2 linked regions of the Drosophila melanogaster genome follow. Changing the gene in region 2 together with the main gene of any one other region gives a genetic interaction. Each region holds a gene or a part of one and is shown on either strand. Other genes may lie near its edges.

Evidence for each region. A genetic interaction does not mean that the proteins touch.
Region 1: of Opa1 (region 2) and PPP1R15, changing one suppresses a phenotype caused by changing the other (phenotypic suppression), as found in Drosophila melanogaster (one study listed by BioGRID).

The regions. Positions count from the first base shown.
Region 1 is NT_033778.4:23,975,064-23,978,928, forward strand, and holds PPP1R15 (protein phosphatase 1 regulatory subunit 15), read right to left. Parts: upstream 2,193-3,865; 5' UTR 1,829-2,192; coding exon 1,085-1,828; intron 1,025-1,084; coding exon 815-1,024; 3' UTR 536-814; downstream 1-535. Other genes in the region: mr (morula), read left to right, coding at 1-20, 77-277.
Region 2 is NT_033778.4:14,230,082-14,237,053, reverse strand, and holds Opa1 (optic atrophy 1), read left to right. Parts: upstream 1-1,604; 5' UTR 1,605-1,739; coding exon 1,740-1,768; intron 1,769-1,866; coding exon 1,867-2,164; intron 2,165-2,225; coding exon 2,226-2,361; intron 2,362-2,494; coding exon 2,495-2,611; intron 2,612-2,711; coding exon 2,712-2,786; intron 2,787-2,847; coding exon 2,848-3,437; intron 3,438-3,492; coding exon 3,493-3,866; exon of another isoform or gene 3,867-3,924; coding exon 3,925-4,089; intron 4,090-4,150; coding exon 4,151-4,338; coding exon of another isoform or gene 4,339-4,352; exon of another isoform or gene 4,353-5,089; coding exon 5,090-5,562; intron 5,563-5,627; coding exon 5,628-5,746; intron 5,747-5,809; coding exon 5,810-5,894; intron 5,895-5,954; coding exon 5,955-6,159; intron 6,160-6,215; coding exon 6,216-6,280; 3' UTR 6,281-6,443; downstream 6,444-6,972. Other genes in the region: Snrk (SNF related kinase), read left to right, coding at 1-215, 279-974.

The DNA of each region.
Region 1 (3,865 bases), 9.7 Mb from region 2:
AAAGGGAAGAAGAACTCCAAGTAAGTGCCTTCAACTGTTCCTAATTCCGGCTTTTTCTTATACAATTATGCCGCAGGTTTTTTGGTCCTATATTGTTGGAATGCTCACGAATCTTGACTCCATGCCAATTGACCGAATCCACCAGATGCTGAAGCTGTTCGCCTCCCACAGCGGCGGAGTGGAGTTTACTCAGGATGAGCTGAAACACTTTCTCCAGCGAAAAGTCAGGGAGCACAAGCTAATATTCTCGGGTGGAGTTTACCAATTGGCCAAATAAGTTTCGGAGATCCAAAACCAAGTTGCAAACGACTGAAGGAATCATGAAATAAATAATGAATTAACGCGATAACATTTATGAAATTTACTGCTCCATGTTAAACGTACCTATTTTTTCAAACTGCCGTCTTATCTGTTTCTATTCAGAGCTTATCTCTCACCCACGTACACACAAAGTCTTTACCCAAACTTGTTTGGCTTGGGAATTTGGAACACAATGCAAGCAATCTTATGTGAAAAGAAGAACACACAGTAAAATACGTCTATTGCTTAATTTATTTCAAGTTATATTAAGGTATATGCTAATCCCGTTATCAACAAATTCAAACTTCTTAGGGCTCTAAAACTAAAGGCGAAGAAAAGTGTACGTGGTTTTGATATACTTTACAGGTTAAACAGTTTTTGGCTTCATAAAATCAATCACGAACGCAGTGGCTAAATCGATCACTTTATACACGCAAACAACTTGGAATTTAATGCTGTAATCGTTCTAAACTGTAATCTGTACATCAAAAGTTACTTCAGGTATGCGGACCAGCTAGTCCTCGTGCAAGAATCGAGCTTGGTAGACACGATCTCGGTGAACTGGAGTCAGGACGGCATTGAGAATGGGTGAAATCCGCCGAATCCGCTGCTGAAAGCGATCCCGATCTCGCGCCATTACCTGCCATTCGCTCTTTCTGGCAGCCCGATAAGCGTAGTCCCAGGCGAGCATTACGTGAACTTCGGGTTTCATGTTGAAACGAACCTGTGCGCATAAATAGGAAATTAGATATGCCCACTTATGCCGCGCAAAAATATTCTTCACCTTCTTGACAGGAGTCGAGCTGTCGTCGCTGCACTGGCAGGCCTTTAGCTCCTCGGTATTTTCATCCTCACCGCATGCTGTAAACTGCACGCTGCTGTCGTCGTCATCATCATCCTCGTCTTCCTCGACATCCTCATCCGCCTGCTCTGCGTCGTCCTCAAAGCAAATGAAGCTGTCCTCACTGCACTCGGAAATACTACGCTGCCGCTGCCAGGAGCTCTTGGCAGCCGATCCTTGCGAACAGCCAGCGTTGTTATTCCGGTCACTGGAGGCTTGACTAGTAGGGCAATCCTCCGCGGTATCCTTAAAGCCGTGGTGCGGATGCAGGTCAATAAAGAAGTAGCACGAGGACGGTACGCAACGCCGCAAGGCGTCCAACTCGATTCCCGCCATCTTGGCGCCCGGCGGACTCTGGGCGTTGACGCACTTGTGCAGGGCGGTCTGCATTTGAGTTACTACGTCCATAGCCATTAGCTTGAAAGACATCATGGTGGCCAGCGGATTCAGGGGGTCTGGCTGCAGGGTTGGGATCCGCAAATCCTCGGGGACTTCGAGCGGTTTGACCTCGGGTGCCTCCTGATGCACCTTGTTTGGCTTCCACAGTGTACGTGATCCAGCGGAGAGGGGACGTGACGGCCCGAACCGATATTGCTCGTAGATAGGGGAACTCATGTTTGCAATCAGGCGGAGAACAAAGAGGAAGGGGTCAAACAGTGCGCCCATAAGGGTGTGAAATTTCGACATCTGAACTTAAAGACACAAGTATGCGTTTGGTGTGGTGGGAATCCCTTGCGAATGGCCATTTTCTTGAACTTGGCTTTGGGGGGCATGGTGGCCAGCTTAATTTGAAACACACTTATCCATGGTTACTGCGATTAACTAATGTAATATGGAGTGAAATAACGCACATATATGGTGAAATGTTACGTATGTCGTGCATCCGATCCTTTGCACTTTACTGTTTTTCAGTTGTAGGCTAGTTCTGCTTTCGTTTGTAGCGTATATAGCGAGATATAGAGTCCAGGCACAATAATATTCAGAGTTTTACACGTTTTATACCAGAATAGTTCCATACTTTTTCACTAGAGCTGAAAATTTATCGATAACAGACGTTGAATCACCTTGGGTATTGTTGTTTTTGTGACCATTCACTTAAGCACCCCACAAAATCGTCCCATTCAAAACGGGCAACTGCAAACTATCGATAGGCAATTTCAATTTCAAGTTTCAAATTGTTGAAACTTTTAAAAGGGCTTTCCAGATTTATTAAAATAAGAGGTTATTTAAATATTTTTCTATTTACAGATTGAAAATGAGTTTATTGTTGATAATCTGATTTTTCTCCGTGAGTGAACATTTTTAGGTATTATTGCGATTTAATAGCAATATTAAGTAACCGTGATAAATGTATACTTTTATTTAAGCTGGATGTAACACCGATATACAAATTTATGGATCATAAGCTCCTAGGAAGTCACTTTAAAAATTGATCATATGATTGATGAGTCATCGTTCATGATTCTGGTTTATGAAGACGAAGACAGATCTAGTTATAGTACTCCAATTGTTAGAATTATGTATGTTGGGAGATTTGCTTATTTTAAAAGAAATAAATTAAGAATAAAATGTAAATAAATATATCGCAGCCTTAAAACTTAGGATGAAATATTGCGGTCGCAGCGATCAACTCGATTACTTCCGTGTGTCCGAGTACAATTAAATCATGCATACTCGTATGTACACTGCATGTACATGGTTCTTTACCCGATATTTATACCTGACACTGTATGAAAATGCAAGTGCATGTTCCGCTGCGTCATTCTGTAGATAAATACTATGTGTACATATGTACATCGAATTTGTATCTGTTAATATATATAGTTATCTCTATATTTTCGCATAATATTCGAGTGTTCTACGTTAACTGCATGCCATTTATGCATATTATTCGAGATCTCGTATATGGCAGCATAGTGCCTGCATGCATATGTTTTCTGAGGATGTATGTACTGGCATACATATAATATCTGATATTTACGTATAATATTCAGATTTTCCGCTCTCAAGACCGTTCGGAATCGTCTGAAATAAACAGAAGCCAGATTCATATTCATGCGCACATATGTATATTGCACGCTTATACGTAATGTGTATTTATTCTCGTATATATACATGCATACAACACACAAGCAAACGTACAGATTAATCAAACAGCCATATGATTAATACACAGTGGAACAGCTGATTCATAAGCGTACATGTACACACCCCTCCCCGCACACAGCACACCAACACTGTTGCGCTACTGCAACAGTTGATATCAAACCAAGGGGCGCAGTGCGGGTGGCGCCAGCCAGAAGGGCGCTGTGAAGAATTGATGACTTAAAGGGGCACCGAATCAAATAAAGAATTCTATGCTGATTGAAATAACTCTTTTATGGAAAATAAGGAAGGCGTAAGGCACTTTTATGCCAATGCAACTGAACTAACCGCAAGTCCGCTCCTGACTCGTCGAGTCAGGAAACTCTCGCAAAAACCTGCGCTCTTTCGGTCTCTGGCACGCACACAGCGACAGCTCGTGTATGTGACGCTGGTATGGGTGCATGTATCTGTATCTACGTGCTGTGGACTCAACTCAAATCAACTTGCAGTCAGTTCACTTGAACAGCTGTGAGCGATCGACGTTGGTCGGGAAGCAATCACAATCGAAACCACACTCACACACACCAAATACACACACCCACACGGATACAGCAGAGCCATATATATGTATGTATGTGC
Region 2 (6,972 bases):
ACGACACCAAGACACGCAACAAGAAAAAGATTAACAAATTTGTCGGTGACACGCCAGTGCGGTTTCGCATGCATCGTCGCGACTCGCATGACGACTCCAGCGACTCGCAAGATCAGCTATATCCGCCGCCCGGCTCGGCCAGCAATGCGGGTAATTTTATCTCCAAAAGCGGCTCAGTAAGCGGCAAAAAAGAGGGACAATCGCAGTATAAAGAGGTACGATTATTATTGTATAATTATCAGTGAGACAGCTACTAAACTTATATTCTTTGCTTACAGCCAAATAACAAATCCGATGAAAATCGCAAATCTCACAGCCAAAAAAATCGGAAACAGCACAACAAGGATCATGTTGATAAGCATTCCCACGCTGAGAGGCAGCTGGCGGATAGCAGCACAGCTACAACAGGAAATTCCACGAATAGAAGGCGGCGCATTCGCGAGAGCCAGTCGCTGGACCGCATCACAGAGGCTCAGGAATACGAGATGCGGCATCGATGCTACGCGGAGAGCGAGGCAGCATCCTCGTCGTCCTCGTCCACCCAACATATCGATCAGAGATATTCTTTACTCAGCCTAAACACTAGCACATTCTCCGTTGCCGAAACCAAGGAGGAGTACGACGAGGAGGCAGACGCCACAAATGCCACGGACCAAATCATGAATACTTTGAATGCAGCCAAAGCAACGCTTCAACAAGAGCAATATTTTAATAACAATACCAATCTTAGTAGGAACTTCAATCACAATCACAACCAGAGCATCATCCACATCAGTAGCCAGAAAGCCAACGGCAAGAAGTCCAACGAAACACCAAAAGATATTTATAATCTGAACTCAATCGAGCATATCGACTTGATTTTGGAGGATAAAAGCCTTACCAAAGCAATACACGTTACCGGCTCTAAATGCTTTGTCACCATGAAGAAAATCCGACGGCTGGGAAAATATTTTCCCGTGATGAACTTCTCTTAATAGACACAGTTACTTCTTTGCAAAGTGCATTCTAAATATTAAAAAGAAACTCGGTTAAGCGAACTACATAGAAAATATGCATGTATTAATTAAAACGTATAAACGTCAACGTTATCCCCCGTATATAGGAAAGAGCGCGAGAATATTTAAATTTAGTGGTAGCGTAATTGTTTTGTCTGTCGTCGTCATTACGCTTAAATTATTCTAAATATATTAATTTATGTTAATTATAAGTCTAATCACTCAATGCAATATTTAGTGAAAATACATTAATGCCCATATGACAATTGACTAAAAAGGTTATTTGTTTTCTTTTTAACAAATTGTGACGAATTAAAATGGAATGAAACTCGCAACTCGCACAATCTAAAATTGGCAATTCAAATGTTTGCGCCCAACTACAGTGTGTACACACCACAAATGTTGTAGAGTAGGTAAAGGAAATAAAGCAATAAACATTTAACTACTTAAAGCTCTTAAGATGTAGTTAAGCAATGATGGATGTCACCAAGCAATTTTTTTTTATTGTAAGAAAAATATACAATATACAAAAATATATTCTTTTATTTTACAAAATGATGCGTGTAAAATACATTGTACCTAATGCAGGTACCCCAAACGAGTACAAGCCACCCTTTTCAACTCTGGTCACACAGAGCACATCCCGTAAAGTTTTTCAGAGATGAGTTTGCGGCAGGAAAATTGAATTATTCACGGAAATAAACAAAGTAAACTAAGTGGAAACTGTAATCCTGACCAGCAATTATGTTGCGCATCTATCAAAATACTTACCGGTGAGAGACCACGCCCGAAACGCGAAAGCCTTACGTGCAGATTTTCTGCACGATTTCGTCATCGGCGAATCTCATCATTCAATGTGTTTTGCCCACAGGCGCACCGCGAGAAAAGCTGTTGTCTACTCCACCAAGGTCGCCTGCTGCAATCATTCCACGCTCTGTGGCATCACCAGCCATCCACGTCGGGCGCAGGATAGCGGGAGCTCCAGTTCGAATGGCAGGCACCGTGGCCACGAGGAGTTCCTACTTGCCGGCAATCCGGCGCGGGGCTGGCAAATGCCTCCGCCGTCGCGTGGTTACGGAATGCTGGTGGTGCGCATACTGCGGGGAGCCCTCAAGCTGCGATACATCGTCCTGGGCGGCGCCATCGGCGGGGGCGTGTCGCTGAGCAAAGTGAGTTTCGCAAGTTATATAACTTGTATAGAACTTAGGAGACATGATTTGTTTTCCGCAGAAATACGAGGAATGGAAGGATGGACTGCCGAATTTTAAGTGGCTGGAGGATGCCATGCCGCAGGGCGAACGGTGGAGCCAGTTCTCGCGGAATCTCATTGAGGTGGGCTCGCTGGTGAAGAACGCCATCGAAGTTGGTGAGTGTCCATGTAGACCTACCATCGCCCTTTCAATCTCTCACTTTAAATGGTCATATACCTTGGTCAGATTCGCATTGAACTCTTCGTTTTGATTGATTGATACTGATGTTATTGGGGCGTTTGCTTGTAGATCCAAAGCTCAAGCAGCTGGGCGAGGATAAGTTGTCGGAATGGCGCAACTGGTTTGACAGTCGTCTGGACGATGCCATCGAGGCGGCCGATTATCAAGGAGTTCAGATTGTCGAAAGTAGGTTACACAAATTACACAGACTCCCAACGTTGGGACCATTTAAAGTGAGAGATCCCTATCTACCGCATTCGAGACTTATTCCTAACATCTGTTGCAGCCAAAGATGACTTAAAGGCCAAAACAACGGTGGCCGCTTTAGGCATAACATCCGATGAGAGTCGTAAGAAGTATGGTAGGTTTTTTGCACACCTGCCGAAAGATATACTATATCTAATCCTTCTGTGATTCCGCAGAGAAACTCCAGAGCCAGGTGGAGACGCTGCAGACGGAGATCATGAACGTCCAGATTAAGTACCAAAAGGAGCTGGAGAAGATGGAGAAGGAGAACCGTGAACTACGCCAGCAATACCTCATCCTGAAAACAAACAAAAAGACCACGGCAAAAAAAATCAAAAAATCCCTGATCGACATGTACTCTGAGGTCCTTGATGAGCTATCCGGCTACGATACGGGCTACACCATGGCCGATCACCTACCCCGTGTTGTGGTAGTGGGAGATCAGAGCAGCGGCAAGACCTCTGTCCTGGAATCCATTGCTAAGGCTCGCATCTTTCCCCGTGGCAGTGGAGAGATGATGACGCGAGCCCCAGTCAAAGTTACTCTGGCTGAAGGACCATACCATGTGGCTCAGTTCCGTGACTCTGACCGGGAATACGATCTCACCAAGGAGTCTGATCTGCAGGACCTCCGTCGGGATGTGGAGTTCCGAATGAAGGCGTCGGTGAGAGGTGGTAAAACCGTCAGCAATGAAGTCATTGCCATGACGGTCAAGGGTCCCGGTCTGCAACGCATGGTTCTAGTCGATTTGCCAGGAATAATTTCGGTGAGCAAGTCAATACAAGTAAAACTGCGCACATCTAATGCTAATATCATTTTAGACCATGACTGTCGACATGGCCTCAGACACAAAAGATTCCATTCACCAGATGACCAAGCATTATATGAGCAATCCGAACGCCATCATTCTCTGCATTCAGGATGGATCTGTGGACGCTGAGCGCAGTAATGTGACAGACTTGGTCATGCAGTGCGATCCCTTGGGTCGACGCACTATTTTTGTGCTCACAAAGGTGGATCTGGCCGAGGAGCTCGCCGATCCTGATAGAATAAGGAAAATCCTTTCGGGCAAACTCTTCCCCATGAAGGCTTTGGGCTACTATGCCGTCGTTACCGGTCGTGGACGAAAGGATGACAGCATAGATGCTATTCGGCAGTATGAGGAAGACTTCTTTAAGAACTCCAAGCTTTTCCAGTAAGTATAGAGAGGATGTGATTGGTAAATTCCAAAGTTCACCTCTCTCCATACTTAGTCGTCGAGGGGTTATCATGCCCCATCAGGTGACCAGCCGCAATCTGAGCTTGGCGGTGTCAGATCGTTTCTGGAAGATGGTGAGGGAAACCATTGAGCAGCAGGCGGATGCATTTAAGGCGACTAGATTTAATCTGGAAACCGAATGGAAAAATAACTTCCCCAGGTTTGTAAAAATGTTTTAAAAAATATAAGAGATCTATAACATTTGAGGTATACTCTTTTAGATTGCGCGAGTCTGGTCGAGATGAGCTGTTCGACAAGGCAAAGGGCGAGATACTGGACGAGGTGGTAACGCTCTCGCAAATCTCCGCTAAAAAGTGGGACGACGCTCTGAGCACCAAGCTATGGGAAAAGCTCTCCAATTATGTGTTTGAAAGCATCTATCTGCCCGCTGCACAGTCAGGTTCTCAAAGTAATATTTTGTAGTACTAAGTGTAGGTTGTAAGCAGATTTCGCCGACGTCATCGATGGGGGCACGTCCATCCAATCGCCCGCCTTGTGTGCTCCGTCATTGTGTGTGTTTCTTGCAAGAAGATATGGCTTGGCCTCGAACCTCACGTGTCTCTGCAAAACGTTGTGTCGTTTAAATGTTTTGTTTAATTTTGTATTTATCATGGCCCGCATTCAGCGTCGAATTCCCGTGCAAGGGAATCACATGCGTTAAATAATTTCAAACCGGTTTGACTGATATTCCTGCAACATTTCTTGAATCACAAGTGTAAATTTAATGTGTACTCCCCGGCGGACGATTTCGAATCCCATTAACACCGTTTGCCTTTGCCCCAAAATAGTGACCCGGGATTGTCACAGGTTCTGCGTTGCGATCATGTGCCGGAAAGTCGCTTATAACGAAGATTTACGAGCACCTGTACCGAAACCAGATTTTGGTTTATGTTCACATTATAAAAACGTATGCGATATTAGCGATTTATGACCGAAAAACCCGTTTAAGCCATCGCTCAGCTTGTGTTTATTTAGCATTTTATGACAGACCTGTTAATTTGCTCAATGAATTCATCCAAATCAATGTCTAATTGAATTAAATTGCAGTTATCGAGTTAGGAATCTGAATGTTTCGTCGCTTTGTTTATCATTCCCCCCGTAGTTGTGTGTCTAGTTAATTTGGCTCAACTAATTTCATACGATTACTATGCTCTTTATAGATTCCTTCAACACGATGGTAGACATCAAGTTGCGCCAGTGGGCCGAGCAGGCACTGCCCGCTAAGTCGGTGGAAGCTGGCTGGGAAGCGTTGCAGCAGGAATTCATATCGCTGATGGAGCGTTCGAAGAAGGCGCAGGATCACGACGGCATCTTCGATCAGTTGAAGTCTGCGGTGGTGGATGAGGCTATACGTCGGCACAGCTGGGAGGACAAGGCCATCGACATGCTTCGCGTTATCCAGCTGAATACGCTGGAGGATCGGTTCGTGCACGACAAGCAGGAGTGGGATTCGGCGGTTAAGTTCCTGGAGAGTTCGGTGAATGCCAAGCTCGTGCAGACGGAGGAGACTTTAGCACAAATGTTTGGTCCCGGCCAAATGCGACGAATTACCCACTGGCAGTACCTGACGCAGGATCAGCAGAAGAGGCGAAGCGTTAAGAACGAACTCGACAAAATACTCAAAAACGATACGGTATGGGTAGTATACATTATATAGTTAGTTATTCCTCATTTACACGCATTACATTATGTTGGTAGAAACATTTGCCCACCCTGACCCATGATGAACTGACTACGGTTCGCAAGAACCTTCAGCGTGATAACGTGGATGTGGACACGGACTACATAAGGCAAACGTGGTTCCCGGTCTACAGAAAGTAAGTTGTAATGCTAAACCATTTAGACTGCTTATCAGTTAGCACATATGTCTCTTTTTTCAGACACTTTCTGCAGCAGGCGTTACAGAGGGCAAAGGATTGCCGCAAAGCATATTACCTCTACACGCAGCAGGGAGCCGAGTGTGAGGTAAGTGTTAAGGTTTTCCCTCTTATCTGAACCAATTTACTTAACTTATTGCTTTCTCAGATATCCTGCAGCGACGTCGTGCTCTTCTGGCGCATCCAGCAGGTGATCAAGATAACAGGCAACGCACTGAGACAGCAAGTAATCAATCGGGAGGCGCGGCGGCTGGACAAGGAGATCAAAGCGGTGCTGGACGAGTTCAGCGATGACGAGGAGAAGAAGGGTTACCTGCTCACCGGCAAGCGCGTGCTACTAGCCGAGGAGCTAAGTGAGTGCTTTGCTTAATTGAATTTGGCGCCAATTTAATTGCTTTCAATTCAACAGTCAAAGTGCGGCAGATCCAAGAGAAGCTGGAGGAGTTCATCAATTCACTTAATCAGGAAAAGTAGTGTGCCATGACCAAAGACACAACACCCGAGGCGTTACTTATTTAACTTGATAGTTTAAGACCACATTTGAAATGTTTGTTCATAGTCACGCTTGAGCCCCTTAGTTAAGCATACTTTGTGCTCCGAAAGTAATAAACAAATAGATCGTTAGTTCGTATTATTGAAATCGTCTTTATTGTTTATGAAGTGTAACCTTATGTCGCATGCAATGCAATGTAAACTCATTAATTTAAATGTAATATAAATCATTCATTCTGTTTTAATGTAATTGTAGTTGATAAACGTTAACGCGAAACGCACTCATCGTGCTGAGTATGTAGCGGTCCGTGTGTGTTTCTGAATCTGTATCGTGTAATATATATATATACATATATATTTAAATCGGTTTGCATAAGAGCACAGCACTTTTACCAGATGCCTCATCGTGCGGTTGATTGTTTGTTTCGTTTTGTCCACGATCGGCTAATCCCGCGATGCGCCGGCATCTGTATCGGTATCGAGATCGGTGGTGGGTGCATTAACCCCGACCGATCGTCTGGCCGCGTCTCTAATTGATTGATTGTTTGATTGATAAACGTATATCTAGCTAACTATGTATGTAGCTAGCTATGTAACATAACAAGTCCGTGATTGCGGTGCAGTACCATATCTCTTACAAGGTAAACAAATGCTCGTTCCCTATCATGTTAAAT